6 separate regions of the Mus musculus genome follow, and regions 1, 3, 4, 5 and 6 are each reported to be linked to region 2. The links are microRNA targets in miRTarBase. Many come from high-throughput screens and were not tested one by one. Region 2 holds a microRNA gene; each other region holds the end of a gene's coding sequence.

The links. The annotated mature microRNA mmu-miR-466i-5p reads UGUGUGUGUGUGUGUGUGUG and lies in region 2 at 1,570-1,589, opposite strand. An mRNA with a match to its seed (bases 2 to 7 or 8) in the 3' UTR can be bound and repressed. Matches are read on the target gene's strand: a 7mer-m8 pairs with bases 2 to 8, a 7mer-A1 pairs with bases 2 to 7 and ends in A, and an 8mer does both.
Region 1: miRTarBase lists Muc13 as a target of mmu-miR-466i-5p. Seed matches in the 3' UTR shown: 8mer at 879-886, 8mer at 877-884, 8mer at 875-882, 8mer at 873-880, 8mer at 871-878, 8mer at 869-876 and 13 more.
Region 3: the mRNA of Smpd4 is a reported target of mmu-miR-466i-5p. Seed matches in the 3' UTR shown: 7mer-A1 at 2,453-2,459, 8mer at 2,454-2,461, 8mer at 2,456-2,463, 8mer at 2,458-2,465, 8mer at 2,460-2,467, 8mer at 2,462-2,469 and 1 more.
Region 4: miRTarBase lists Cox15 as a target of mmu-miR-466i-5p. Seed matches in the 3' UTR shown: 7mer-A1 at 1,975-1,981, 8mer at 1,976-1,983, 8mer at 1,978-1,985, 8mer at 1,980-1,987, 8mer at 1,982-1,989, 8mer at 1,984-1,991 and 6 more.
Region 5: the mRNA of Znrf3 is a reported target of mmu-miR-466i-5p. Seed matches in the 3' UTR shown: 7mer-A1 at 4,636-4,642, 8mer at 4,634-4,641, 8mer at 4,632-4,639, 8mer at 4,630-4,637, 8mer at 4,628-4,635, 8mer at 4,626-4,633 and 17 more.
Region 6: the mRNA of Proser3 is a reported target of mmu-miR-466i-5p. Seed matches in the 3' UTR shown: 7mer-m8 at 4,335-4,341, 8mer at 4,300-4,307, 8mer at 4,288-4,295, 8mer at 4,286-4,293, 8mer at 4,284-4,291, 8mer at 4,282-4,289 and 14 more.

What each region holds. Positions count from the first base shown.
Region 1 is chr16:33,815,544-33,820,616 of GRCm38, reverse strand. Muc13 (mucin 13, epithelial transmembrane) reads right to left here. Exons shown (of 12, transcript NM_001382834.1): 11 at 4,748-4,943; 12 at 688-1,742. The coding sequence ends at 4,748. Among named protein-coding and RNA genes, the nearest start is that of Itgb5, 12 kb to the left of the region's middle.
Region 2 is chr3:85,463,898-85,468,970 of GRCm38, reverse strand. It overlaps Mir466k (microRNA 466k), which reads right to left and starts at 1,594; the gene lies at 1,473-1,594. The region is part of intron 1 of Gm31419 (a long non-coding RNA gene); the gene reads left to right.
Region 3 is chr16:17,641,877-17,646,949 of GRCm38, forward strand. Smpd4 (sphingomyelin phosphodiesterase 4) reads left to right here. Exons shown (of 19, transcript NM_001164610.1): 18 at 293-421; 19 at 598-2,954. The coding sequence ends at 927. It overlaps Ccdc74a (coiled-coil domain containing 74A), which reads left to right and starts at 4,594. Exons shown (of 8, transcript NM_001166164.1): 1 at 4,594-4,907. The coding sequence starts at 4,649.
Region 4 is chr19:43,732,216-43,737,288 of GRCm38, reverse strand. Cox15 (cytochrome c oxidase assembly protein 15) reads left to right here. Exons shown (of 9, transcript NM_144874.4): 9 at 437-4,035. The coding sequence ends at 568. It overlaps Entpd7 (ectonucleoside triphosphate diphosphohydrolase 7), which reads right to left. Exons shown (of 13, transcript NM_053103.5): 13 at 3,436-5,073. Among named protein-coding and RNA genes, the nearest start is that of Cox15, 18 kb to the left of the region's middle.
Region 5 is chr11:5,275,006-5,280,074 of GRCm38, forward strand. Znrf3 (zinc and ring finger 3) reads right to left here. Exons shown (of 9, transcript NM_001080924.2): 9 at 1,324-4,756. The coding sequence ends at 4,719. It also overlaps the pseudogene Gm30172. Among named protein-coding and RNA genes, the nearest start is that of Kremen1, 16 kb to the left of the region's middle.
Region 6 is chr7:30,534,909-30,539,981 of GRCm38, forward strand. Proser3 (proline and serine rich 3) reads right to left here. Exons shown (of 12, transcript NM_001382459.1): 10 at 5,011-5,073; 11 at 4,841-4,922; 12 at 4,226-4,674. The coding sequence ends at 4,533. It overlaps Arhgap33 (Rho GTPase activating protein 33), which reads right to left and starts at 152. Exons shown (of 22, transcript NM_178252.3): 1 at 18-152.

The DNA.
Region 1 (5,073 bases), not on the chromosome of region 2:
TTGTGTTTGAGGGATAGAAGCCAACATGGTCTACGACATGTTAAAATGTTGTCTTGGGTGATGGAAAATCCCTGGTGAAGGTAGCAAATGTCGGGCAGGTCACTCCAGGGTGTCAAGTCACATTTTCTGTTTAAAATGAGACTCAAGGGGGAGCCAGGGAGATGGCTCAGCAGTGAAGAGTACTTACTGCTCCTGCAGTTCGGCAGTAGGCAATATGTACTGAGCACCTGAGCTCTCAGCATCCGAATCAGAATCAGGCAGCTCACATCTGCCTTGACTCCAGCTCTCGGGGGTCTGATGCCTCTGACCCTCAAAGCCAACTACATCTGCACATATAAAATAAAAAAAAAAATAAAACATCTACACCTACTTTAAAATTAAAAGAAAAAATCTTTAAACATGAAATGAGACTTGTGCTAGGAACTAGGACTGGCTTGTTTTCGAGGGTGCTTGCCTGGCATGCATGAAGCCCTGATATACCCAGTATCATCCCTACCAACCACATACACCAGGCATGGTGGCACACACCTGTAAACCCCACACTAGCGATGCAGAGACAGCTCTGGTGAGGCAGAGGTAGGAAGAACAGAAATTTCAGGTCATCTCCTGCTGTGTAAAATGTTCGAAGCCAGCCTGGGATATGTGAGACTCACTACTGCGAGCCTCCCAACACAAGAAAGGACACTATCCACCAAATATATTTTATTAAAGCATTGCCTTCCACAATGAACAATTAAGAACAAATAATAACAAAAATACCTTTCGAGAGGACCAGACGTCAGACAGACACGAGGGCACAATTAACATTTAAAAAGACAGATGATGGATGTATTTATATTTATCGTGTGTGTGTGTGTGTGTGTGTGTGTGTGTGTGTGTGTGTGTGGCCACTGCTAAGCCTCCATCATGGAGCAGAGGTTCAGTGAAGCATCATTGAGTGGACACCAGGCTCCTCTGTCAGAGTTCCAGATAGAAGGCCTGTGCTGTCACAGGGGCTTCACACTGACTGCTGCTTTTGTGGCTTTCCCAGGATCTATGTCTTGGGGATGGCAGCACCGGAGAGTACCCATTTGCTGCCTGAGGAGGGACATCATCAAGGGAGAAGACGCCACCTGCTACCTTCTCCCTCCCTCAGCCTTCCGGCATAGCTTCCTTGGCCTCTCTCTACCTCCTATGCTCCTGTTTCTCCTCCCTGCTTTCCTACCAACTAACATCTCAAAGACTTGAATGTCCCCACAGAGGACAGAGCCAGTCCAAGCCTTCTTATTGTCATTTGCCTGGGTCCCCAAAGTCCTCCTGAGAAAGCTGGGACATGCTTCCATCTCTTGCCTGTCCTCTTGGGGTGAGGCCCTATCACAAGCAGCTAGCTGTTCAAGAGTGGCCAGAGTCCAGAGCTCAGGAGTGGCACTGCTCAGGGATGAGTTATGAGGGTGCTCCCTCTAAGATTGGAAACGCTAAGAGTTGACCCACCAGGAAAGAAAAGCCCCACACCAATTGCCATAGCATTCTGTACTAACTGGAGAAAATCAACTCTTACAAAGGCTCATAGGGTCTATGCGCATTTAATTTGATAGGTGTGTCTTCGGCAAGCTTCGGTCTTCACACAGGTCCACACCCAGAGGGGTTGGCAAACCACGCAGAGGAATGCTGGAGGTCAAACTTTGTCTCTGCCCATTTCTCCTTGTCCTTAAGACCGTAGCTTGGGTGGGCTGGGCTAGGGAGGGTTCCAAATTCTTATCATTCTATACAGGAGGAGAGAGAGAGGCAAGGCTTAGAAAAGATTTCTAGACAGCAACAGGAGAAAACTGATATTTGTCAATTATTTTAATATATCTTTTGTCTTCAGCTTTTTCCCTATGCTCCCTTGTGTCTTTGGGGTGTCTGTCTGTCTGTCTGGTTTGAGACAGGATCTTTATAGCCTAACCTGATGCTGTGTTTTGAATGAAGATGGCTCCCATAGATTTACATGATTGAATAATTGGTCCTCTTTGGTGGGACTGTTTGGGAAGGATTGGGGGTGTGGCTCTGATGGAGGAGGCATGTCACTGGAGGCGGCTTTGGGGTTTCAAAAGCCCACACCATTCCCAGTTAACTCCCTCTGCCTCCAACTTTCAGATAAGGATGTGAGCTCTCAGCTACTGCTCCAGTGTCCAGCTTGCCTGACTGCTGCCATTCTCCCCACCATGATGGCCATGCACTTACCCCCGACAATGTAAGTCTCACTAAACTCTTTCTTCTACAGGTAGTAGTCTTGGTCATGGTGTCTTACCACAGAGGAACTAAGACACCAGGCTTCAGATGTGTGGTCCTCTTGCTTCAGCCTCCCCAGATGCTGCCTGGGTTTTGCTTCTGTTGGTATTTCCAATCTTTTGTGTTTTGCTTTGTTTTTATGTGCCAGCTTCTCAATATGTAGCTTCAGTCGGGCTAGCCTGGAAGTCACATGTAGCCCAGACTAGCCCGAAGCTTACATAGAGATCTACCTGTCTCTGTTTCCTGAGTGCTAGTATTAAAGGCATATGCCATTATGTCCAGCCTGTTCTCTTGTTTTGTTTTTTGTTCTTTTCAATATTCAAATTTCTTTTTTTTTAAGATTTATTTATTTATTATATGTAAGTACACTGTAGCTATCTTCAGACACTCCAGAAGAGGGCGTCAGATCTTGTTACAGATGGTTGTGAGCCACCATGTGGTTGCTGGGATTTGAACTTCAGACCTTCGGAAGAGCAGTCGGGTGCTCTTACCCACTGAGCCATCTCACCAGCCCAATATTCAAATTTCTAAAGCTATATCTCAAGACCCCTTTCTTCCTCTTTTATATTTGATTCTTTCATTGGTGTGTGTGTATGTGGTGTATGTGTGTATGTGTTCATGTATGTGTATGTGTACGTGCTTGTATGCAATATATGTGTGAAGGCCAAGCGTTTATGGAGTGCTGAGATCTGAACTCAGGTCCCCTTGCTTGCTCAACAGGATCTTCACTGACTGAGCCATCTTTTCAGTTCCCTTTACATTTTTTTTTCTTTTGAACAAATTGTCTCTGTTTTCTCTTCCCTTCCCACCTCGTCCCTGGCTCCTTTCTCCTCTTCCTTTTCTGTACCTCAGCCCTTTGTCAGTTGTCCCTTAGAGACACTTCTCACCGGCCCCAAATCCTCCCCTGGGAAACAAAATGTTTCCAGTCAAACTTGCTTTTCTCTTTTGAAAGATTGAAATAGACTGCTTTGTAGGACTGGTCTAAGGCACTATCATCTATCTATCTATCTATCTATCTATCTATCTATCTATCTATCTATCTACACACACATATAATGGGTAGACACATATACACATATAATGTATATGTGTGTATATATACAAATGTGTACTATATATATATATACATACATATATGTGTGTGTGTATATATATATAAATTTATTATATGTGTATGGGTGTTTTGCCTGCATATATGTCTGTGTACTATGTGTGTGCCTGTTGCCTGTGAAGGTCAGAAAAGGGCAGTGGATCCCATGAGGCTGGATTTATAGATGGTTGTGAGCTGCCATGTGGATGCTGGGGATCAAACCCAGTCCTCTGGAAGAGCAGCTGGTACTTTTAACTGCTGAGCCATCTCTCCAGCCCTGGCATAAATTTAGAAATAAACTGTTGCCTTGAGATGTCGGGGAAGAGGAGAGCTGTGTTTGTGCTTTTGTGCATTTGACATACAGGTTCCCACAGCTCCACGCTGCCCTCACTGTCATTTCCACACCTGACTTAGACCCCAGTTCTTTATTTACACACTGGTGCTGCCATCCCAAGCATGTAGGTCAGAGTCACGAAAGTGGATATTTAGTTTAATTTTATTTTTGTTTTATTTTTGGTATTATAAACTGTAGGGCCTCACAGTGTTACTGCGCCTCTCTTTATTCATAATATACCTCCCTTAATTACTATTTTAGTAATGTAAAGTGTATTTTGTTCTTAATTGTTCTCCTCATCTATTATCTCCCCCCACCATCAAATCATTTTCTTTCCTTTTGAGACAGCATTTCACTGAGTCCTCCCGGCTGGCTGTGAATTCCTTCTGTAGCTCAGGAGGGCCCTGAACTTGCTACCTTCTTGTATCTTGAGTAGCTCTCACGATTGGTCCTGGTTAGAAGTGGATAATTATTTGTCTATCTATTACATTTATATACCTGGGAGGGAGAATACACATGCCACACTGTGCACGTGGAAGCCCGAGAACAGTTTGTGGGAGCCTGTTCTCTCCCTCCTGCATGTGGGTCCTGGGACTGAGCTCAGCTCATCAGACTCAAAAGGCAAGCACCTTTCCCAGCTGAGTGACCTCAGTAGCCAGAAAGTGGGTAAGTTAGAGGCACTCAAGGATGCTAAGACTGAGCTAAAAAAATAAAAAATAAAAGAGGAAATGGAAGCCCCGAGACATTCAGAGACAGGGCTGATGTCATGTAGACGGCCATTAGTCCTAGCTAGGGACCAAGTGGTGACTGAGGCTGTAGCTGGGACCTCCTTGTTTGCTAATATTTTTTAAAAGATTTGTTTGCTTCTTTTATGTGTATGAGTGTTTTGCTTGCATTTATGTATGCATGCCGTGTGCTTGCCTGGCACCTGTATCATCATGTGAGTGCTGGCAACCAACCCTCAGGTCCTCGGTAAGAGTGACACGTGCTCTTAACCGCTGAGCCACCTCTCCAGCCATGCCTCCGCTCTCTACCTGGGCATTACATCCTGCCAAGCCAGAGGCCGCACTCACCTAGTAGTCAGGGCGAGGCATGCTTCGCTGGTTTGCGTAGGGATTAGGGGTCTGACTCGGGACCCCTGTTCTGACTTTGGGGAAGATGCTGTTGTCCGCTCCTAAGTTGGAGAAGCCGGTCTGCCTCAGTCGTAGGTTATGGAAGTCATCCTCAATCAGCCTCTGCTCTTCTCCATCCTTCTTTTTGTTCTTTGACCTAAAATCAGAAAATTTAATGAGGGCTCGGGGAGCGCAACAAAGTTTCTTAAGGTATGAGTTTTGGTTTTGTTGTTGTTGTTGTTGTTTTCTGAGACAGGCTTCACTATAACCCTGGTTGTCTTGGAGCG
Region 2 (5,073 bases):
ATAGCCTGAAAATACCCTGGGTGTGACCAGTTAGTTGAGAGCTGGCAGTGTGTGTGTGCCCTGTCAGCTGCAGGGTGATAGCTAGGATTTAATTGCCCTTCCTAAGATGCAGCTCAGTAGAGTGAGGTGAACTAGAGTCTTTCTATATACATGTCTCTGAGGACAAGACTCACAACAGCTTCCACGTTACCCAGGACCCAGTTGGACCGTGGACACTCAGGCTTCACCACAGACCTCCTGGCCTTATTTCCTGGGGGTTGGTGTGCACAATCAGCTCCAGGAGAGCCAATCAAGTCCTTGTGGATGTCATGTCTCAGTGTCCTCTTTATTAGGATGTCACAGGTAAATTCCTGTGGCTGGTGCCAAGACAAACTGCCTAGAACATTTTATTTGCTGGCTTGCTCTGATTAAAGTGGAGAACGCACTGCACTTTCTCGTTTGTGGTCACCTGCTAAATCTTTACCTTATTTCTGGTGTTGCCTAACACAGCGTCTCATACACAGCAGAAGAGAAAGAGTCACTAAATGAATGAATGAATCTATTTCCTATTTCCTTCGAAATTTGAGCCTCTGCACAGGCTGAGATGTACTGGCGTGCTTTGTGTTGTTGTTGGAGGTGGAATCTGGGGTCTTGTATATGCTGGGCAAGTGTTTCATCATTGAGCTATAACCCAAGAGCTAAAAAACTTGTTCCGGTGGCATTAGGGTAGCAGACAATTTTTGGGGAAATGAAGTTTGTTTCCAGAAGGCCTAGGGCTGTGGAATCCTGGGTATAATGGATGCTTAGAAGAGAAGAGATGACTTCAGGTCTCAAGGACTGAGGACATGTCCCTAGTTTTCAGTGACTGGCTTTTATACCACCAGAAGCTCTGCACACTCTGTACTGACCCTTTTCCTGTGAACTTCCCTGTGTAACATTTGTTCCTCTGTTTTATCAGCTGAATGATGGAACCTCACAGCCAAGAACTTTGAGAGGTCAAAAGGACCTGGCTGCTTCCTGCAGGTGGCAATGGCTTCCTTTCTTCTTCAGCCTTTAGACAGTTTGGATTTCAAATTATTCCATCACTTTCTAGAACATTCCAGATCCAAGCTCTCCTCTCCTATCACAGATGTATTCTGCAGCGCTGGGCCTCTCTACTGCATGTGGTTGTGGGAGAAGAAAGCCGCTGAGGTAGTTGAAGCCATGTTTAGCTTTTAGTTCTGTGAGGCAAGAGGGCCAGGACAGAGCATTTCCCCTTCCCTGTCAAGATATCAGCACCTGCTTGGGAAGCCAGAAGATGGAGGAGTAAAAAAGCTCCTGTTCCTCGGGGGCTTGCAGGTAAGGTCACGGCCAGTGCAGAGGTGCCAGTCTTCTCCTGCCCTATAAGGCTGCTGCTACCTGTGAAAGATCAGTGCAGTTGCTTACCTGTCACCTAGGCCAGATGGAGACACAGCCATCGGAGTCACAATTAGTAACACCTACTCACCATACACACACATGCACATGCACACATATACACATATATTCACATACTCACACACATGCACATGTACAAACATATACACACACATACTCACATGTACATGTACACACACACACACACACACACATATATATGTATATACACACCTGCACACACACACACACACACACACACACACACACACATATCAATAGAGAACATGCATATACACGTACATGCACTCATGCACATGCACACCCATGTGTATATGCACACACATACATACACATATACACATATGCATGCACACACACACATACACTTATTTCTATAGGAGGGTGTACATGAATGTATATCACATGCACACATGTATATGTGTGTGAATATAGGTGAATATACAGCCCCTCCCATCCTGGAAACTAGCACATTCATATAAGACACCATAATACAGCTTTTCAATATTTTCTTTTCTGTAAGAAAGTAGGGAATTGACTGAAGTCCAGGGCTGTTGCAGTTCAGAAGTTCGGCTCTTTATCTAAATGTGGCCCTGAGAGTTAGGCAGCAGATGGAGGTAACATGGCAGCTTCCAGGGCTTGGAGTCAATGACTTCAATGAACAAAAACAGACACTTTCTTTTACTCGCTCCATTGAGAACATGACCACACATTCCTGGCTCACAGGAGACCCCTAAATCTGGAGGCCACTCCACGATGTCTCCTCATCCTTAAAGTAGAAAGTGGGACTGCGGAATCTGTCATGTGCTCCATCTTGGGCCACTGATGGGGTCTGTGTGAGATGAGATCTGATTTGCCTCGGTTATTCTGGGATGCACATTGGCTACTCTGCCCACTTCATCCATTCTGAGCTACTACCAATCTCCATCCTTACAGGCAGCAGCCAATTTGAAACGTACAGTTGTATACTCCCACTTCAGGTTACTTTTGCCAACACATATTACCTTATGTTTATTTGAGTTAAGTTTCGTCTGCCTGCAGGCTGCACAATCCCCCAAAGTGTTCCGATGCACCTGGAATTTCTTGCAAATCTTCTCTGTTTTTATTAGCCACAACAGTTTGGAACTAGTTGAAACCTCTGGGAAGAGATTAGACAACAATTACTGCCCGTTGCTCATGTAATGTCTGGCCAGGTACATGAGCCAGCAGGCCTTGCTTGGCGGGGTGGGGGTGGGTGGGCATGATAGCATTTCTATCCACTGGTCTGTCTTTTGAACTCTCAACTCTGGACAGGTACCAGGGAGCCAGCCTATCCTTGGGGTGTATGTCTACACAGGGGCATAGAGCTGTCTTATTTACAGGTTTTAGAAGCTACTGCTCTGGAGCCAAGGGAATGTGTGTTATCAAGGCCCACTCTGTCTGGTCCCCTTGGATATTACAGAAAGAAGGGACAGAAGAAGAGAGCCGAGGGAGGGGAAGGAAGCTTGCAGCACTGCTCGCTATGCTGGGTTCTGTAAAATCAGGTGATTAGACATGGGAGGAGGAAGGACAGAAGTATCACCCTTCGGACTCCTCTGGAGAGGCTGAGACATCACCATGGTCACATCCTGGAATCTGGGAATGAGGACTGGTTGAGGCTGGAAGCCACTGTCCTCAAGACCAGGTAGGACATCAAGGACCAGTTCCACGAGCCAGGATGGAGGAGGTGAAGCGGGCTGCTGCTTGCGGAAAGCAGCTTCTGTGAGCAAGGCTGGTGTGTGGGCAGCAGCTTAGGCTGAACGGATCCCAGAGCGTTCCAGCGAGCTAATCTTGTCAGCCTCAAGCTGTTCCACAGACAGTGGGTGTGAATCCAAAGCCATCTTAGATGCTCAGCTCTCAAATGTTTCTTTTAAGAAAATAAAAAAAGAGAGATTGAAGGTACACCAGACCCAAATGGGCCAGTTACCTGGGAAGGTTAGACTTGTGAGCTGTGAAGTGCAAGTATGCAGATGTTAGAGACGATGGGATGAGATGTGTGTATGGGGGTGGATGTCTCTTCTCTGTCAGCTATATCCCTGGATGAGAGTGTCTGTCTCCTTCTGCCTCAAGGATACTGTATATATCTGCTCCACGTGTAGAAGCAGAAGTCAGTGGTATCCAGTCTCCAGCCCTGGACTCGTCTTCTCTCCTGTTGTCTCTGCTTTCATAGTCAGTTGACTGTGCCTGCTTAAACTGTGCACATATAGAAACTAAATCTTGAGGAAGGAGGAACCCTAGGAGAGTAATATAATCCTGATCCTGACTTCTAATTAATCTCTATGGGGAGAAAATATCTTATGTCTGTATGCATGTGGCAACTGTCAGTAATAAATTTGATGACCTATAACTTGGCAGGAAATAGGAGGTAGGACATCTGTGAGGTAGAAAGGATTCTGGGATAGTGCCAGGTGGGAGATACACTGGGGAAGATGTGACAAGACAGATACCTGGTACCTGAGCACAGGTAACCAGCTATGTGGCAAAATGTAGTTGAGCATAGGTGGGTTATTTTAAGTTCTGACCTAGTTAGAGAAGAGCCTAGCTGTATGGCCAAGGTATTGTAAACATATTTTGAGTCTGTGTCTTATTTCTGGGAGCATGGGAATGGGAGGAAGAACAACCTACCTTCTGTATCCCTACTCTACCATTAGTCTCCTGTCCCTCTGTCCTTCATCTTTCCATGGCTGCAGGGAAGACCTGATGCTCAAGATGAGAAATTAAAACCACTGTCCCGGGGGGTGGGGGGTGCGGGGTGTTACATGGACTGTAGTCTGGGTCAACCAGAGTCACACTTGAAAAGGGGAATCAGATCACACTGATTCACAGCAACACCTATGACCCCTTTAAATAATGAGTGGCGATTTCATGTTACTAGCATGCTGTGACAGAGCATCACAGATCACACGGCTTAAACATTAGGTATTTACTCATAATCTTGAAGGCTCAAAGTAACAGCACAAGTGTTGGCAGGGCTGCTGTCTCCCGAGGACTATGAGGAGGAATCTTTGAGGCCTCTCTTTTTGGCTTGTAGGTACCTGTCTTCTGAAGTCTTCACATGGGCTGCACATGTCTGGGTCCACATTTCTTCTTAATATAAGATTAGGGACTGCCCTAATGGCTCTATGCTGGTGTGTGTGTGTGTAATACGAGCAACCAACTCCTGGTTGATTCTTCCATTGTCAAGCTCCACAGAGAATTCAGAGTGCTCTTGGGTACAGCAACAGCAAACCTCTTCCTCCATCCTTCCCAGGTGCTTTGCAATTCTTTCTTGTGTCTTTACTACTATTGCTGTGTGCATGCATGTTTATGTGTGTGAGTGTAGGTGCCTATACACACAGTACATGTGTGGAGGTCAGAGGACAACCTCCACTCTCCATCTTCACTTTCTGCCTTGTCTAAGGTTTTCTTATTGTTTGCCAGAGTAGCTGCCTGTGAGCCTCTGGGATTCTCCTGTCTCTATTGCCTATCTTTGCAGAGGAACTCTGGGATTACAGATGTGTACTGATGTGTTAAACTTTATGTGGGTTCTGGGGAGTCAAACTCCAGACCCTACACTTGCAGGGCAGTTGTTTTAAATATTGAGCCATTTTCTCAGCCCTGCTATTATTTTTTTCATACGGGGTCTTATATTGTAGCCAAGGTTAGTCTAGAGCTCATTAT
Region 3 (5,073 bases), not on the chromosome of region 2:
CGTTTCTCAAGTCATCTGCAAAGATACATTCTTTTTAGAATTATTTCCACTGCTTGGGTTTCTAGATTTTTTTATTTTATTTTATTTTGTTTTTTTTTGCCGTCAATAAGAAATTTACCTATTTAAAAAAAAATCCAAATGCTGGCATTGTCCAGAAAATTTTAACAGGTTTATTTATAATTGTTATAAAGTTGAACTGTTGAAATGTGTTCACGGAAACATTTTGCTTGCATTAATGCTTTACATCTTGCACTTATATTAAAAATTCATACACAAATGAACGGGTTTCTAGATCATTAATGGTCTGCGAAGGTTCGAGATTGAGTACCAGGGAGACTTAGAGCTGCAGCCCATCCGGAGCTACGAAATCACCAGTCTGGTCCGTGCACTCTTCCGGCTGTCCTCTGCCATCAACCGTAGAGTAAGTGAGCAGCAGGGACAGCTGGGATGCCCTAGACATAGCTTCCAGAGAGTGCTCCTGCCCTAGGTAGCATCCTGCCCTTCACGGCCCTGCGTGAGAATCACTTGGTCCCAGAGGCATCCTGGAAGGGAGGGTGCTCTGTGTCTCCAACTGCTGAGTCCTTGTTTGTTCTCTAGTTTGCAGGCCAGATGGCAGCTCTGTGCTCCCGGAATGACTTCCTTGGCAGCTTCTGTCGCTACCACCTCACTGAGCCTGCCTTGAGCAACAGACATCTGCTGAGCCCTGTAGGGCGGAGGCAGGTCACCAATCCTGCACGGGGCCCCAGGCTCAGCCTCCGTTTCCTGGGCAGTTACCGGACACTGCTCCTGCTCCTGATGGCCTTCTTTGTGGCTTCTCTGTTCTGCATTGGGCCCCTGTCCTGCTCCTTGCTCCTGGTCCTAGGATACGTCCTCTATGCCATAGCTATGACACTGCTCACTGAACGGGGGAAGCTGCACCAGCTCTGAGCTGCTGGCCATCCTCTCCTGAGCAGACTGTGGCAGGTTGCTTAGAAGCCAGGAATAGAGGGGCAGGTCATCTTCAGTGTTCTTGGGAGTAGTTTCCCTGCAGTGGTGGAGTTATTCAAAAGAACAAAGAGTTGGAAGGGAGAGTGATCCAGGCAGGCCTGACACAGAAGGGTCAGTGTCAGAAGGTTCATAAGCCATTGTGTAAGACAATCAGTGCTGGCCATGGCTCCTCACCTTCAGTCCAAGGGCACACAAGCAGCTCAATATCCACTCCAGGGGAGAAGCAGGGTTCTAAGAGACAGAGCTTGGGGTTGGAGCTTGGTCTGGCCAGCCTCTGTGGACACAAAGCAAAAAAGCATTGGTTTTGCCTGTAAAACTAAGGAATTTAAGGGAGCGTCACATTTGTAACAACACCTGTATGAAAAAAACACCTTCACATCAAAGCTAAGACACCAAAGGGCTCAAGTTCACCCTGCAGGTGAACACCACCATCTCCAAGGTGTTCTTAAACCAGCCCTTTTGTTGTGGGTGTGTAGCTGTTTTTAAAGAAAAAAAAATACCAACCTGTTTTTTTTCAAAGTTATCACTGGGCTTTGTATTTCGATGTAACTTCAGAATACATCATGGGACCCATGACCAAAAGTCAGCTCAAAACATAACTGAACAAGGATCCGAATAAACCATTCTTGCTTCGGAGATTGTCTGGGCTGAATCTTTAGCCTGTTTACCTGCCAAGGGTCCCTGGGCATTTGGGAACTGTGGAGCAAGCTCCTGGACACGGTACCTCCTTACCTCGTGATGGAGTTCTTTCTGACTGAAAGTCCCCTTTCATGCCTAGGGCATGTTGGATTCAACTTCTGCAGAAACAAGACAAGGCAGACTAACCCTGAGGTGGGGGCAGGCCCTGTGGTGCCCTGAGAACTGATTTCCCTGCTTAACACCTCAGAACTGGCTGTCATCCAGAACAAATACCACATTGGCTTCCAGAAACTTCCTTTTTGTTAAACAGTGTCATTTTTATTTTATGTGAGTGAATGTTGCTTGTGTCTGTTCATCATATGTATGCATTTAAGGAGGCCAAGAAGAGGGAGTGGGTGGGTGCTGGAGACCAAACTCCAGGCTTCTGTAGTGCTCTTAATCAACTACTGAGCCATCTCTTCAGCCTCCAGAATCTTAGAGTCATGGGCAGATGGGGCTGACCTATACTAGCCAGCTCCAGGCCAGCATCTTCCCAGGAGTACAACCTCCTTGTGGTGGGAAGGGAAGTTGCCTTTTGAGTGTCCCACTGTTTCCAATTCCCCTGGTCAGAGCTGAATGACTAGCCCTTACCAACAACCCTATCAATATTTATCTTTTGTGTGGGGGATAGAGATAGTTACTCTTGTGTAGCCCAGGCTGGCCTTGAACTCAGAGATACACGTACACTTACCAAGTGTTGGAATCAAAGGCTTGTGCCAACTCTTTACCTAGCCTGTATTTATTTATGAGATGAATATTTTTTTAAATTTTTTTTCTCTTGACAGTTACACACACACACACACACAGGTCATGTCTTACTCCTTCAAGTGCCCCCAGAGTTTAATGTTTTAGACTGACTTATTGGAGTGTGGGGGATGCAGTGCATGCATGCGTGCCATGTATGGACATAGGTCAGAGGTTTGAGGAATGGAACTAGGTTAGGCCTCAAAGCAGGTGTCACCAGTTGTCAGCGTTCAGTTGTCAACTTGATTCACCTGGGAAAGGGACCTTTTCTTGATTGATGTAGCTATCTTCGGGTGGTACCATCCCTAGGCAGGTAGGTCTGGGCTGTATAAGAAAGGTAGCTGAAAGTAAGCTGGGGAGAAAGCCCCAAGCAGTCTCTTGGTTTCTGCTTCAGGCTTCTGCCTTGCCTTGAGTTCCTTCATGGCATCTGTCCATGATAGACTCTAACCTATAAGCTAAAATAAACCCTCTGATGCCCACTTTGCTTTTCTTTTGATCACGGTGTTTATCGCAGCAACAAAAAATAAAATAGGATGCTCAACTAAGCCATCTCCCTGTTTTGGTTTATTTTTAGGATAAGATCTCACTGTGTAGTCTGTAATGAAACTTTGTATCCTAGGCTAGGATTATAGGTATGAGCTTCAAGGATCAGTTTGAAATGATCTTTTTATTATTTGTGTGTGTTTGTTTTGAAGACAGGATTTCACTATGTAGCTCTGCTGACCTGGAACTCTATGTAGATCGGGCTTTTTGCTGTGCAAAGGATGGACCTCTGGGACATGGACATGGTAGACAAGTGTCAAACACTGACCCATTGGGAGGTGACTTTTGCATAGCCTTCTCTTAGAAATTAAGTTTCCAAACCAGGCATTAATCTTAGGATTCAGAAAGGAGGCAGAGGCAGATCTCTGAGTTTGAAGTCAGCCTGGCCTATGTAGCTAAACTATGTCTCAAACAAACAAATCTACCATGTCATAAAAAGTAAGTGGCCTAGTTTTCACGTGGATAAGAGATGAGCCAGCAGTTAAGAAAGAGAGCTTCCTGCTCTTCCAGAAAACCTGAGTTTGGTTTCCAGCAGACACCCAAGGCTGCCTGTAATTCCAGCTCCGGGGCTCAATGCTCACACATGCACACCCACAGAATATACTCATACGGGTACGCATAAATGAAAAAAAAAAAAAAACTAAAGTCTAGAAAGCCAGGACTTTCTTGTTTTTGATCCTGCTGGCTGGGTTCTCTAGGTAAAGGCAAGCACTGGACTTTTGTTTTCTTGAAGACAGGTTCTCACTGTGTAGCTCTGACTGTTCCGGGAACTCACTATGGCAGACTTCGGAACTCTGGAAGATCCACCTGCCTCTGTCTCCCATTTGCTGGAATTAAAGAAGTGGGCTGGCCGGTTCTCTTGTGTTGGTTCAGACAGCTCTATTTATACACAAAGATTCAGTGAGTGTTGGAAGATTTGTGAAACTATTACTATGTATCCAAAAATGTGAGCTATTAAAATGAAAGACTAAGACCCACTTTAAAAGCCAGTGCGACGGGCGGTGGTGGCGCACGCCTTTAATCCCAGCACTGGGGAGGCAGAGGCAGGCGGATTTCTGAGTTCGAGGCCAACCTGGTCTACAAAGTGAGTTCCAGGACAGCCAGGGCTATACAGAGAAACCCTGTCTCGAAAAACAAAAACAAAAAAGCCAGTGCTTTGGCATACATCTATAATCCCGGTTTTACACAATGAATTCCAAGCTAGTTTGCACTACAGAGTGAGACCCTGGTTCAAAAGTACAAGCGGGGCTAGGGTGATGGCTCAGAAGGTATAGTGGTTTCTGCCCAAGCAGGAGAAATTCGGGTCTAAATTCGGGTCCCTAGCACCCACATGAGAAGTGGGGAGGGAAGGCGCACACCCGGGATCTTAAGCGCTGGAAGCCGGGGAAATGGGAAGATCCTGGGGTTCACGGGCCAGCCCAGCTAGTCACAAGACGAGACAGACCTCTTCTCAAAATCTATGAGGTGGGGAATGAGACCGGACGTCGAGTGCTGGTCTCCACAGGCACACGCACCGCACACAGCACTCATAAGAACTACTGTTCCGGACCAGTTCAAGAGTCTGGCGCCTTGGTTTTTGCGGAACGCGGCCGCAGGCCCCGCCCCGCGGCGCGCCCCGCCCTCTCCGGCGCGCCGGTTCCCAAGGCGACCGAGTGCCAGGCTCCAGCAGCCAGTACTGAGCGGCGGCGACGCCTTCATGAGCGGGGCCGGGCTGGCGGCCGGGGCTCGGCCCCTCAGCTCCGCGGCCCCAGGCTCCCGGGGCGCGGCCCGCCTACGCCCGCGCCCTCCCGCCGGCCTGCAGCACGCGGGGACGCAGCCGCCTCCGCTCGGGTTCAGCGAAGCACAGAAGCGGATCCTGGACCTGGAAAAGAGCCTGCAGTTCCTACAGCAGCAGCACTCGGAGACGCTAGTCAAACTCCACGAGGAGATCGAGCACCTGAAGCGGGAGAATAAGGGTGAGCCTCTGGGTGCTGGCCCAGCATTTACAACCTGAAGGTCACGGCCATCAACTCTTAACAGTCTCCGGGTGCGGGGAAGGATGCGGGAGGCTTCTCTTCGGTAGGGCCTGCCGATAGGCTCAGTCCTCCTGTGCCCACCAGCCCAAATGAACGCTGACCCTCC
Region 4 (5,073 bases), not on the chromosome of region 2:
CTATATTTACCTCTGTATCCCAGCACTTGGGAGGGAGAGGCAGGTGAGTTTAAGACTAGCCTGGTCTATATAGTGAGTTCTAGGCCAGCCAGGGTTACACAGTGAGACTTTGCCTTAAACAAACAACAAAAACAGAAAACTGTGTCTCTCCATGACCACAGACATGAAAAGTGAGGCATATAGGATGGTAGCAGTGATGACCTGTGGGGACAGGAAGCAGGAGCTGGGTGTGGTAGCCCATGCTCATGATCCCAGCACTCTGGAGACTGAGGCAATAGGATTGCTTGCACCATGACTGACTGCGTCCTGGATTTCTTTATTTTATGGATGCTTGCTTCTGACATGGGGTACATGCATTTGTAATGTCTGAGAGACACCGTGGCGGTGTGTGCAGTCACTTTCAAGATGACTTCTTTTCTTCTTTCTTCTACCACAGGTGGCCCTGGGCATTAGCACTCTGCTTATGTACGTCCCCACTCCGCTGGCTGCCACACACCAGTCAGGCTCCTTGGCTCTGCTCAGTGGTGCCCTTTGGCTCATGAATGAACTCCGAAGAGTCCCTAAATAATTCTCAGAGGATCATTTCCTAGGACTGGAACTGCCTTGGAAACTCATCACCAAACACAAGAACTTAGCCTTTTCTAAGACGGTGGTATTGACATGCCACATGGTTTCCAAATTGGTCAAGTCATTCAGAACTGTTCTGAGATGGGCACTGGACCACGAACATTACTAAGGTGTGCTTATACCAGAGGTTTCCTTTAAAACTCTGCTACATAAACAAGGATCTGCCATTTGCTGCTTCATAAGAGGCGGGCTGACTTCTTAGATCTTGGTTTCTATGTCCTGCCCACTAGTCAGGCTTCTGGTGACAGTGACAGATTCAGGAACACGTGCCCCTGTGGAGCTACTCGACCAGTTGGCTGGTGACTGCATGTTAGTTTGTTACCAAGGTCTAAAATTGTCATATTTTCTGGTTTTGATAAGCAGCTAACTAGCTAGGTTTGTGAAGTGAATATTCTTTTATGCATATGTGTGTTTGTGTTAATATATGCCATGTGTGTACGGGTGCCCATGGAGGCCAGGGAAGGTGCTGGGTCCCTGGAGCTGGACTTAAAGGTGATTTTAATATGCCTGATACGGGTGCTAGTAACCAAACACGGGTCCTCTGGAAGAGCAGCAGGCACTTTTAACAGCTAAGCCATCTCTCCAGCCCTGGAGTGTATATTATTAAAATTAAATGTTGACAATTTCAAGTTTTAAAAAATATATGGAGGCTTAACATGTCTGACCTGAGGTTGCACATTTGCAGTTTCTGAACAAGATGATCAGGTTTTTTTTTTTAACTCTAATAATTATTCTGTGAGTCTCGGTGTATCCTAAAGGATACTGTTCTTAGCTAGTCTTAGCAAAAACAAACGCACATGTGTTTCACTCCTCAAGTCCCAGGCCCTGCTGGGCTTGTGTTATTGCACAAAAGAGGTTCCCTCAACCTCAGAACAAGACTCATCCTAGACCTAAGCGATCACAAGGCCTCTGAACAGGACTGGGCTGGGTTGAAGTTCTGCCAGCTTGTTCCCATTCCCTCCGAATCGCTACCGCACCTACCGTGCCTCATTTAACCTGTTGGGCCTGTGTCAGCAGGGTAGAAACTCCGCTAGACAGGAGCCTTCCAAGAAGGGGACCAGGGCAGCTTGCACACCCTCTGCTTCCCAACTCCAAATCCGCACTCTTCAGTTAGAAGCAATCAGCACAGGGCTGGAGGGTCCAGCCAGAGACCACTCGGAACCGGTTTATAGTCACCCCAAGCACATGGCAACTGGAGTCAGCTCAAGTCTCAGATATTTTGCTGCAGGTTTTTGTTTGTTTGTTTGTTTGTACTACAGTTAAGCATGTTCGGAACAGATCCAATATTTAGCTGTTTAACTGCTTTATGGTATATATATATATATATATATATATATACACATACATACACACACACACACACACACACACACACCCTAAATACACCCTAATACAATTATTGATTTATGCCCCAAATGTCTATTTCAGAAAAATCCATTGCACACTTAAAGGATTAAATAATTTCTTTTAATGTTTTCAACAGTCTGTCCACAATTCTGTCAATTGTTTTTAATTTATAAATAAAGGTAATTAAAACATGTATTTTCAGTCAGCTAACCCAGGATTTTTGTTTGGGATTGATTAGGCCATTAACTCTTATGACATCATTTAATTTTTCTAAGAATTTACTTATTATTGTGTGTGCATGTACATGACAGGGGATATGCATTGTACATGCACGTGCATGCAGAGAAAAGGGGACAACTCCTGCGAGTTGGTTCTCTCCTTCTGTCTTTGTGTGGCGATTGCTTTGTACCGCTGAGCTGTCTCACTGGCTCAGGTTTGCGTCTTTAACCTGCACTGAGATCTGGTTTCCTGCGGCAGGGTCAGTGAGACTGCCTGAAGTGAAGTTGGTTGCAAAGACCAGCTCTGATAATCAGGAGTTTAGAATAGCAGTTTACCTGCAGCCCTCCTGGTCTTGGGGTGAATGGGGGGTTCTATGTGGGCATATGCCACACAGAGCCACATAAGACGCTGCACATTTTCTAGAGCTCCACATCTATCAGAATATTAAGAACTATTCCATGAAATTTAAGAATTCCACAAAAATTCGTTTTTCCACCGCCTGGCTGACAAAATTCTTAACGTAAAGCATGTAAAAAGAGCCGCCTCAGCCACCGGAAGCAGGGCGGTCCCAAAGCCTTTGTCCTTAAGGTCATGGGTCACAGTGGAAGGAGCCGTAGCCACTGCAGAGACCGTGCTAAAGGTAGAAATCCTGGAGGAGATGTAGTGTATACTCCAGCTTCAACTAAACGGACAGTGTGGGACAGCGTGGAAGGAGAACTTGAACAGAAACCTGACCGGTTGGAGGGCCCGGGATCCCTGCTGGCAGAGGCGGGCTTGAGTAAAGGGGCAGAGCCGAAATCAGGCTGGACTCACCAGGACCCCCTTCAAACTGTGCGGTAGCTCAGATTGAGAATGTCCTCCAAGGGCCATCTGTTAAAGGCTTGGTCCTCATGGTGGCATCGTTGGGAATGGTGGGACCCTCGTGGCCAAGCTTCCTAGAAGGTCTTCACATCATTGGAGGATGAGTGAGACTCCCAACTCCATCCTTTCTTGCATCCTGGTCATGAGCTAAGCATCCACTCTGCGTCACATGCCTGCTGCAACGTACACTTCACTGCGGGCTCAGAGCAGAGGGACACTTGACTACTGAGTTGACCATCTACAGCTGTGAGCCAGAACAACCCGTTCTCTGTATAAACGATCTCAAGTGTTTGGTTACAGTAAACGGACTAGCAGCCTGGGGGTGGGGGTGGGAGTCAGGGGTCTGGTAGTAATTGTCCTGCTTTAAGGAGAGGCTCAGGAATAGACACATCTTCAAGCTTGTCTGACATGCAGGCATGGTTAAACAGCCTATGACTCAGAACATTTTCAACTCAAGTTTTCATGCCATGGAAGCAATGGCCTGGTTCATATTTGAAAAACTGGAAGCCCTTATAGCATGAGCAATAATTCCATTTTACAATATAAAAAAAGTCTTTTTATTGCTCCGATTTCCAGAAATGAAAATGGTCTGCTGGTGTGTGGTTCTCCTCTGTCCTTCTAATGATAGTATTAACAAACAAAAATAATGAACTACTAGGCCAAGGGGAAATATGAAACCCTTCAAAGACAGCCGATGGGGATATAAAACAAGACAAAGCTGGCTTAAAATAGAACCTTAACAAGCCTCCCACCAAAACAGAAAGCCTGGAATGGACAGGAACCCACGCAGGGTACAACAGCTTTTCCAGTTCGATCACATCCAAGTTAGGAGGAGGGTGAAGGTCAAGGACAGAGCCACCCACCATACAGACCATTACCTAAAAGTATTTGATTTCAATCATTGTTTTGCAATCATGGTTTACAAAAATATTTGTTATTCTGTATTGTTAGTCAAAGGTGCCAAAACTTGGTTCTTAGTCCTCATTTTTGAACATACTAATTTTTATAATGCCAGCAAAATCTTCACGAGTTTGGCAGAAGTCTACCTTCCCCACAGCAAAGACGGAGGGTAAAACATAAACTAAGAGACCGATTTAAGAGACTCTGAAACAGCCAATGCTGTTCCTACTTAATTCCTAGTCCAGCTAAAATGAAGTCACATACAAATCCCAGTCTAGAAACTTCCCAAGAATCGCCACCTATTCCATAATGAGGTAGATATCTCTATTATGCATTTGTACCTTCATTCAGATTGTAATTATTGGAATGTTGTGGGTAAGAAAAAAATTGTGCAAAGTTAAGCTAATGGCTTAAACATAAAACCAAAAGTATTTTAAATACTAAAACAGATGCAGCGAAAACTTGGCTAATGAGATCCCATTTGAAGTCTACCCTCAGGGATGAGTTGAGAGCAATGTCCTCAGCTCCATATAACAGAGTTCTTAACCTATGGAACTCCGGGAAGCCTTACTGTAAGGAAGGGAAGTCTGGACCCCATAATACGAAAGCAATAAACAGGATACAATGCACCAAACAGAAACTCAAAGACTAATTAAAATAAATTAAGAAATATATTTATATTGAGAAATGATAAAGATAGGTATCCTGAGATTTTTTTTTTCCAAACTATAAAAAGAATGTAGGGGTATCAATCCGAAAGGCTGCCGTAATGATTAAATGATATATAGTAAAGAACACAACATTAAGAGGGATACAAATAAGTGCTTGACAGATGGAAGCTTCTAGTAGCATCAGGACAAAGAGGAAGATCAGTAATGAGAGCTTTACAACCAGACCATTACCACCTCCCTCCTCCAGTCTCAATTGGAGCCCATGAACATGGCCACTGTTAACCTGCCCAGGGACTTCTGACTAGATCTCTCAACACACCAAGACAGCTATATAGAAACCAAGATGAAGCTAAATGTTCCCTGAGGAAGCAAATGGCTGGTAAGAGCATTTTATAGCAACATTAAAAAAAAAAAGCAGAGGCTCACTCACAGGACATAAAAATTAGAA
Region 5 (5,069 bases), not on the chromosome of region 2:
TTGAATGGGATGGCAGAGAATAAGAAGGAGCGCACTTAGTATGCAATAGATGTCAGCTGTAGCTATGAAGTCCCTAAGCTTTGTGGCCTTGAGCAGACCAATACTCAGTGACATATGTAAAGGTACTCAGTAAGGAGACTATACTCGGCAAATGGTGCTTGTTGTTATAGTGAAGACTCAGACGCAAATCCCTGCTAATTATACTGAGTTCCCTTCTCAAGTTTTAACTTTGACATCTCTGCTTTCTTCTTGGCCCGAGTAAAGAAAGTTCAAAGGAGAAAAAGTTAACAAGTCAGCCAAGATCTTAAGGACAGATATGCCAAACATGCAGCCACTACCCAAGTGTTGTCCAGGGACAGTGGGCTCATAGCCTGCAAGGGCTGGACACTGCTTCCTGAAACCCAAGAGGAACAGCAGCTGGAGATCATGCCAAACATCCATGGCATCCTCACCGAGGGTTACCGGGCTCTGTACCACACTGTGGCAGAGCCCATGCTCTGAGATCCTTCTGGAAGCGCCAAGAGGTACAGCTAGGCAAAGCCATTAAACAAAGGCTCTGGGAAGCTTTCCTCTGGAAGCTGCCACCAGGAGTGCATGGAGGGGTGGGAAGCTGGGAGGGAGTACGGCTGCTGTCACCCGAGAAGTGGCCCAAGCTAGGATAAGAAACAATAGGAACTCATAGGGTTGGACTCTCCTCTGCAGTATGTCTGAAAAATAAGCTGCACTTTTCACCTAATCTCAGAACGTTTTACAAACTAGTGGCTACCCTTCCAGGGAAAAGAGACAAAGTTTCAGTCCTTTTTTTAAAAATGGGGGTAGAGTGGGGGTCAGGAGACAGGCTCTCTACACAGAGCTGGCTGTCCTAGAACTCACCATGTAGACTAAATTGAACTTGAACCCAGGGATCCACCTGCTTTTGCCTCCTAAGCAAAGCCACCATGCCCAACTGGTTTTCTGTGGATGGCACAGGGCAGGGGAAGGGAGGTGTGGGGGGATCGAACCTACAGCCTTGACTGCTGGCAGGTGCCCAGGCTCCAGCACATCTTTTACTTTTTTGAGACAGGGTTTCATTACATTGCACGGGCTAGCTTTGGATGCACTCTGTAGTCCAGAATGGTCTGAAAGATGTGATCTTCCTGCTTCAGGGTCCTGCCACACACTGTTACTCAAGGATATAACCCACAGGTTCCAGCCAATACTCTGATGACTTGGAATCTGTTAATAGGAGCAGAAGGTCACAGGCATCTCTGGATACGATGGAAATCAGAGCACTGGCCCAGGCTCTAGACGTTAGGAGCCACAGCAATGACCACATGTGACACATACTTGATAAAATTGTATTTTTTTTTACAGTCATTTGTACAATTTGTTACAAAATCATAGACGACTACAACTTGCTTTAAATCATTTTTGGTCTGCAAATATGTAAAATCTGTGTGCAATTATCATGTATTTACAGGGCCTTGTTAGTCATTTTCAATGATTATTTCAACAATGTCACACTCTCAACATAAGACATGGCTTAAGATAAATATATTAGTAAATAAATATTCTGAGAACATATTTCCATAAATGAAATGTGCTGCTATACATATACAGAATATACATAAGTTGTTTTCTAGCTTTTAAAAGTTTTTAAAATGGTAATGTGGAAAAAGAGCCCTTAGACCATTTTATCACAAAAAAATCTTTACAAAATATTAAGTGCTATGGGAGAAATAAAAAAAAAATTAAAATAGTGTCATTAGACCAACACGATACAAAAAGTTTATGTAAGGAATAGAAAAATGCAGGTCAGTTTAAAAGATGATACTTTCAAATTCTTTTACAGACCACATTTTAAAAGCATCAGTCCTGTGTGGACTTTGAGAGCAGAAGCACATAGGGAAAGGCCTGAACCACGGGACTAAAGAGGGACACGGATACAGCGGTCTGGGCCTGGGGGAGAGGGGATGGATGGTCAGCTTCTGGAGCTACGACCACAGAGGCACCTCAAGGTACACAATGACTTAACTTCCATTTTCATCTGGTTCTAGATTTTGGGTTGGCATGGCTGTCTTACACCCAGGGCTGGTATCAAGCCCACACTTGCTATTCCACACACAGGCTCCCAGTGGACAGTGGGGTGCTCCTTGTCCATGGCTATACAATCACCACACACTACTGACACTCCCTTTCCACTTCCCCTCCCCAGAAGAGGGCACAGAAGAGAGCACTGTGGCTCTCAGAACTTCATAGACACTATTTCTTCTGATTTAAATGGTGCATAAGATAGGTTTTATTCTGGTCTGATGTGGCAACACAAAGATGATAATTGTCTCTAAATCTTTTGTTTCTACTAGTCCAAAACTACAACAATTACAAGTGCCTGTCACCCACTAGTAGCATTTTTTCAAAGGAGAGTTGAACTTGTTTTTTTAACTCTGCCTAGTGGCATTCAAATTCTCTACTCATCTATGAGTACTGAGAAATGGTTTTCTAGCCAGGCAGGACAAAGGCAAAATCTTTCTGGGGTTTGTTTCAGCCAATGGAGAAATATGCACATACAGACACACACACACAAAAAAAAAAAAAAAAAAAAAAAAAAAAAAGGAAAACCAGAAACAACAAACATCTCAACAATGAGAAGCTGTGCTTTGCAGTTCATGTTAAAAGCTGTGCCTCCACCCCCCCCCTTGCACAGTAAGGAAAGCTGCTGTTCTTAGCAGCTGCTACTCCTGGCCCCAGAAAGAAAGGCAGCCCCGATTACATGTCAACAGTTTAGGCCCTTCTCACACCCTCAGCAACAGGTGCACTGGGCATAGCCTCAAGGGACCGACCTCCAGAGTCCGGCAGAAGAACAAATTTCACTATGGCCACTTCCTAAAGGGCAAATAACTGGGCCATCTGACGTGGGACTTCTTTTGTTAGATTCTGGATAGAAATAAGCAAATGCCCTCATCCTAGGACGAGGTTTTAAAGAACAAAGTATTCTGATCATCTCAAATGTGCAATCTGGACCCTGGGATGACTTCCTGGGAGCCTGACTGGGAAGAAGGGTCATTTCTGTCTCTGGCAACCCAGGTGGTCCCCATTCTGTAACCGAGTTTTCAGACCCACTCGGCCAAACTCTTCCTGATGGAAAAAGACATCTGCTAAATGAATGACTAAAAGTGACCAGAAGAGTTAGCAAACACAGGGCCAAGCCGATTAGTTTCCTCTAAGGAAAAGAAAATACTTTTAAGAACAAGGACTATTTTGAATAAAAAGGATTACAATCCCTGAAGTGATTTTAAATAATTCTCTCTCCCTTTTAAAAATAAACAAAACATCTTAAAAACAATAACAAAAACAACCAAAAGTGGTTTGGGTTTAAAAAACTCTTCCCCTTAAAAAAAAAGAGGCTGGAAAAAATATACAAAAGCCTACCCTTTGGGTCTGAACTATCTGATAGTCTGTCTCGTGGAGAATCAGTACATAATAGTGCATCAGGCAGACAGGCTAGCAGACATCTGCTGGCAAGGTGAACCGCTGCAGCCACCAGGCAGAGGCCTGTTTCTGGGGATGGGGGACTGGTCCAATTGGAGCTTAGTACACTCTTGTGGTTCAAGCATATGTCCCCCAAGAAGGCAACCTAAGGGGGCAACAGCTGAGGGGTGTGGCTGCCCTAGACCCATGGGCACAAGTGTGCCTCAGCATGCCTTTCAAGGAGCGGTGCACTGCTACTGAGAGGAGAGCTTGTTCCTCTAGTCCCACAGGACACCAAGGCCATAAATCAACATTCCTCCTGGGTGTCCACCCTGCACACCCCATTTAAATTACCCCTGCAATTGATGGCATGAAGCCCAAAATGATTTTACAAAAGACTCCAAGGCCACAGGGTGAGAGCGTCTCTTCCCTTGACTGGTGGTCAGAGTGCAGGAGAGACCCTAGTAACAGGGCTGGTCACAGCCACAGCCTCTGCTGGGATAAAGACCTACCAAAGGAACAGAAGAGAATGGGCAGAACTGTCTCCAATAAAGTTGGCCTAGGCAGTAATAGCTTGACACTGCCCCCACTTCCCTCCTGTTCCATTGCTGCCTACAGGTGTGGGCAGGAGAGGTGTGGCTTCCCAGAAGCCCAGAAGTTCAGATTTGCCTCAAAAAAGGGAAAAAGGATGAGGCAGCTTTGTATTGTTCCTTGGAGCTTTTTACTTCAAGTTTCTGGTTCATTTTCAATAAGGCAGGTGTAACCCTGAGCTTTTCAAAGGCCTGAGGTCCCTCCAGGGAGACAACAGTATTGACACATGATGTGGTTCATTTAATGCAGCAGTGATTTTTTTTTTCAACAGAAGTTGGTAGTTAGGGTTCTTTAAAATATATATTTAAATAACTTTTTACATTTACATATAATATTTTAGAAAAAAAGCAGAGAACTCAATCCCACACACCTCAGAAACCCAAGCACACATTACAAAACAGAACAACACATTATTAAAGAGGCAAAGGACTCAAGAGATTTTTGTCTGTTGGTTTGTTAAAGAGGAAGGGATGCCACAGGTGGCTCACATTTTGGGTTGAGGAGGGCTCTCTTTATTACCACTTTTGTGTTTGTCAAAGCTAAAATATATATATGTGTGTGTGTGTGTGTGTGTGTGTGTGTGTGTGTGTGTGTGTGTGTGTGTATAGTAGTTTTGAAGGAAGCCAGACTTTGAAGTCTCCGTACAGTTCACGATTTCTACATAAGAGTTCCTTTTGAGCTCAAGCTCCCGTACCGATGCCTGGGCCAGATCCTGGTCCTGGGAGAAAGAGGGAGAACAGTCATCAAGGGTCTGGAGAGAGCCAGCACAGCAGGCTTTGGGTAGTACGTATCAGGTAAGGTCCTTGAGCATCCCTAGCCCATCCATAGGGCCCTTGGATGTGATAGTTCACAATGGTGATTTGGCTCTGTGTGATAAAGGGGGCAGCAATGGCTCCTTTCCTGAGGAGCTCAAGTCTACACTGAGAACAGCTGTTGGGGCAGAGGGTGAGCAGGTCTCCCTTGATGCCTATACTGAATCTCCTAAGATATCACAGAAGCATAGGTAGAACTGAAGTTAAGTGAATTAGTTC
Region 6 (5,073 bases), not on the chromosome of region 2:
CCCCGAGGGCCCCTCACCACCATGGTCGCGGTAGCCTCCTCAGACCCCGGCGGCTTTCGAGCCCTCGTTCGCAGTCCTCGCCACCGCCGCCTCCGCCGCCATGGTGACACAAAGGGGAGGGCGTGAGGCGCGCGCGGGCGGTCGCAGGCTCCTCCCCTAACGGCTGCCGGGGGGGTCTCTGGCGCGCGCCCCATGAGGGGCGGGCCAGCGGGCACGCGGAGGCCCTTCTCATTGGCTCCAGTTTTGGCCTGAGGGCTACGCCCCGCCCACAAGGCGGCTGCTTATTGGCTTTGAGTGCTGCTCTACTTCCCGCCCCCATCCCCGCCCCGTCTCTCCAGTCCCACCCCCCGAAGTTTGACAGCGCCACGCCCATGGATGGTTGGCATTGGCTGTCAGGGCCCTCCTGAGATAAAACCCTGTATTCTTTATGCTCCGCTGCCGCCACTTCTCTCCTTAAGCAGCCTGCCCTTTCCTCCCGCGGTCGCTCCTCGGACGTGCTTCATTGGGTTCGCCTACGACTATCCCCCACAAGCAGCCTTTTCGAAATGCGGGTCCTCCAGTCCCCACGCTGTCAGTCCTGATCCTGACCCCGCCCACAAGCTTTTTGATCTCGCACACCCCGCTGTGTCCCCACCCTAGGCTCTGTGCGACTTGGCCTCCCCCTATTCACTGGACATCTTTCCTTGTTTCCCTATATTCGCTTATTTGAGGCTAGCCTTTGACATCTTTTTCTAGGAAAAGCTTCTGTATGGAATGCTATGACATTCATGCCTCTCAGAAAGCCAGGTGCAGTCTTTTTTCTTTTTTTAAACGATAGAGAAGTGCCTAGAAAGCATTGCAGCCACACCCTTTCCGGAAGGATGCTTTCACTGATCTGGACCTGAGCAGGCCTCTCGTTTCGGTAGCACGCTCCCGGTCCAGGCTTTTAAAGACTTTGATTATTTAATTCGGGGATATACCAATAATCAAAAAAAAAAAAAATACAGCCTTACCCATATGGAAGCTCAAAGGCTAGTATGAACTAGGTGATTTCGGTTTGTAATCTCAGCACTGGAAAAGTGGGTGCAGGAGAATCATGAATTTGAGGCCAGCTTGAGCTGCATAGTGAAAATCTGTCTCAAACAAACCAAATTAGGGACTGGAGAGATGGCTCAGCAGTTAGCACTGACTACTCTTCCAGAGTCCTCAGATTTCTACTCCCTGTTCCAAGCACCCACATGACTGTTCACCAGCTACAGCTCCAAGATGTCCAGAAGATGCTCTCTGTGGGCACTAGGCACACATGGAACCCCCAACATATACACAGGCAAAATACCTGTATGCATTAAATAAAAAAATTTAAAACCTCCAAATCAAAGGCTGATGGGGGAAGATAATGAACAAAATAAATATAAATATGTATCATCCGAGAGAAAAGCTAGTTGGGATGGCGAAATATGGAAAGTGCTGGGTGGGGGGAGGGAATAAGTGTAATGAGTGATGATGCTACTAAGTTTTGGGGGTGGTTTGTTACCCAGCCACAGTTAAGATGGCCTCGGTCAAGTAGGTAATCTCAGCTTAAGTGTGACTTCCTCGGGCAGCCTTCTAGTGCCCCCTCTTAACTTGATCAGGATGTTATTGTGAATATCTTCTATTGTTCCTTGTGTCTAAACAGCTACCTCCTTATTGATTCAATCAAGTGTGTGGTTTGTTCAAAAGGATGAAAACCCACATTTATCTTGTTTCTGACATAGAGAATTGCATGTCAGAAATCTATCCCATTTCCCTTCATAAATCCCATACATATATCAAAACAACATTGATCTCAGATTAAAGAATCCCAGAAACCCTGTCTTAAAAAACCAAACCAAACACACACACACACACACACAAAAACCCTCAACCTAACCCTCATCATATATAGTTGCCATCATTTTATTTATGAAAAGTTCTAAGATAGGGAAAGTTGACACCCACACATCCACCAGCTAGCTCTTATCATTAAAACATTTTACTATATTCATTTTGTCTTACATCTACTTATTGCTTTACTCACCCATCCAACTCATCTTTGGGAATGTTTCAAAACAGATTAGGCTGGGTGGGTGTGGTGGCCCACATCTGTAATCCCAGCACTTGAGGATGTGAAGGTAGGAGACTCAGTCCAAAGCCAGGCTTAGGTTACATAGTGAGTTGGAGCCTAGATCTTAAATGATCCTATTTCAAAAGACAAACCATTGCATCCATACTATCCTGGAATTTTCCTCACTTCCTTTTTTTTTTTTAATGGTTTTTCGAGACAGGGTTTCTCTGTGTAGCCCTGGCTGTCCTGGAACTCACTCTGTAGACTAGGCTGGCCTTGAACTCAGAAATCCGCCTGTCTCTGCCTCCCAAGTGCTGGGATTAAAGGCGTGTGCCACTACCACCCAGCTTCTCATTTCCTTTTGTAAAAGTCAAAATTTGTACCTAATATTTCTTTTTTTTGGGGGGGGGGATTCGAGACAGGGTTTCTCTGTATAGCCCTGGCTATCCCGGAATTCACTTTGTAGACCAGGCTGGTCTCGAACTCAGATATCCGCCTGCCTCTGCCTCCCGAGTGCTGGGATTAAAGGCATGCACCACCATGCCCGGCACTGTACCTAATATTTCTATATTTCTATATTTCTATATTTTTTTTTCTGAGACAGAGTTTCACTATGCATCCTTGGCTGGCCTGGATTTCTCTACATAGACCAGGTCACAGAGATTAAAGGTGTGTGTGACCATGCCTTGCTCACATGTATCTCCTTAGCTAGAATTCACTTTTTCCCTTGAGGGAAACCACCGCAGGGATTTTGATGAGGATGGCCTTCATAGGCTCAGACGTTTGGATACTTGGTCTCTAGTTGGGAGACCACTGTTTGGCCTTGTTGGAGGAGGTGTGTCACTGCAGTTAGCTTTGAGGTTTCACAAGACTCCCATTCCCAGTGTCTCTGTCTCTGCCTCCTGGTTGAGTCTCAAGATGTGAGCTCTCGGTGCCACTCCAGTGCCATGTGCCCTGCCCTGACGGTCATTGACTCTCTGAAACTCTTAAGCCTCAAATAAACACTTCCTTTTTACATTCCCTTGGTCACACTGTCTTATAACAGCAATTTAAAAGTAACTAAACCACCACAGAGAACGAAACAAATCTCACTGAGCTCAGTAGATGCATGCTTGTGTGTCCCATCCCTAATATAATGACTTTTTTTTTTCCCGACACAGGGACTCTCTGTGAGAGTGACCTCAGAGTCGAGATCCTCTGTTCTCAGACTCCTAGGATTACAGGTGTGTGCCACTGTGTCTAGTAATCAGATTTTATAGCAGACTCTGAAAAGCATCCGAGTCACAGAAAGTAGAAGAAAAAGAACAGAACAGAACCCACTTTCCTGACAGAAGCTGCAGGCCTTCAGTTGCATTTAATTTGTTGAAAGGCTCAGTTTCAAAGAGAAGCAATAGGATGTCCCCCTGGGTGGCAAGTGCATCAAAGAGTGAGCAGATGTGTTTATAGTAATGACAAGCTTTCAGCTGTATAGATAGGAGGTAGCCTAGACTGAGCTGAGGGCAGTGGGAAGGAGTTGGGTTCTGATAGACAGAGTCAGCATCTAGCAGGTGACTGTGTGTGGGAAAGAGAAGAGTCAGGATGACAGAAGATGTTGGTCCTGAGTAGAGAGAACACAGTTGAAGAATGTGAAAGAGGGGGAACAAACGTGGGGAAACACCAGGAATTTGAGCACCTGTGGGAATTGAGGCATCTCTTAGGCCCGTGGATGGAGATGGCGACCAGGGAGGGAAAGATGCTAGCACGGATGGAGATGTACTATTGTCCAACACTGATGTTTCTTAGGACCAGATAACAGGGCCTTTGTCTCCATCCGAGATATAAAAATCCACTTCTGAGTTCCATGAGTCAGGTAGTCAGATGCCCACATTATCTAGAGCCATGTGCTCACCCACAGAGAGAGAGGGAGAGAGACACATTTCCTTATTAGCACAATTAGCCTTTCTACAACAATCCATTTCTTTTTTTTTTTTTTTTTTTGGTTTTTCGAGACAGGGTTTCTCTGTATAGCCCTGGCTGTCCTGGAACTCACTTTGTAGACCAGGCTGACCTCGAACTCAGAAATCCGCCTGCCTCTGCTTCTCGAGTGCTGGGATTAAAGGCGTGCGCCACCATGCCCGGCTCAACAATCCATTTCTTAGAGATGAACAGTAAACTGGAAAAATGTTAATTGGGGACAACTTTATTTTTACTCTGTGTGTGTGTGTGTGTGTGTGTGTGTGTGTGTGTGTGTGTGGTGTTGTGTGTGGTGTAGTGTGTATGTGCCCCACAGCTCGTGTGTGGAAGTCAGAGAATTTCAGAGATTCGTCTTTGCCTTCTACCTGGATTGAGCCCCGTCCATCTCCATGGGCCAGCTGGCCTGTCCGCTACCTCTATGCAGGTTCAGGAGATCCAAACTCGAGCCTCCACACTTGCAAGTTCTTTGCCCACTGAGCTATCTCCTCAGCCCAGGAAAAACCAGAATTTTTCTAATTCAAAGTCGTCTGGACTCAAGGGAGGTTCCTTCCCTCCTCAACCGCATTCTTGAGGACCTGGAAGGTGACCTGGCTAGAGGAGACGAAGATCCCGGGTCTTTAGTGTGGTCCAAGAGGAGAGATAACTGGGCATCCACCTTCCTGGAGAAAAGTGGGGAGAGGTAGAGGCTGAAGCATGCGCTCACAATAAGAACCTGCAACAGCGGGTGAGGGGTTCAGGAAAGGGACTTGGAAGAGACAGGCACCAAATAGGGATGTCACAGGACTCAGGGGTCCAGTATTGTGACTCCTGGTGATGAAGAGTCACCTTTTCTGCTGCCGGAGCTCTGCCCTCTGAGCCCTTAGCAGCTGCAACACAGGATCTTCCTGAAACTCGCTGCCGTCCGAGTCTGGGGAATAAAAGACTGAGCTCCAGAAGGCAGATACAGGGTTTGGGTCCACCATCAAGATACCCAAGGGCCCAGGAATCCCCCTCACCTTCCGCAGCCTGTAGAAGTTTGGTGGCCTGGGATAGCAAGTCCTCGGAAGGGGCGTGGCTTG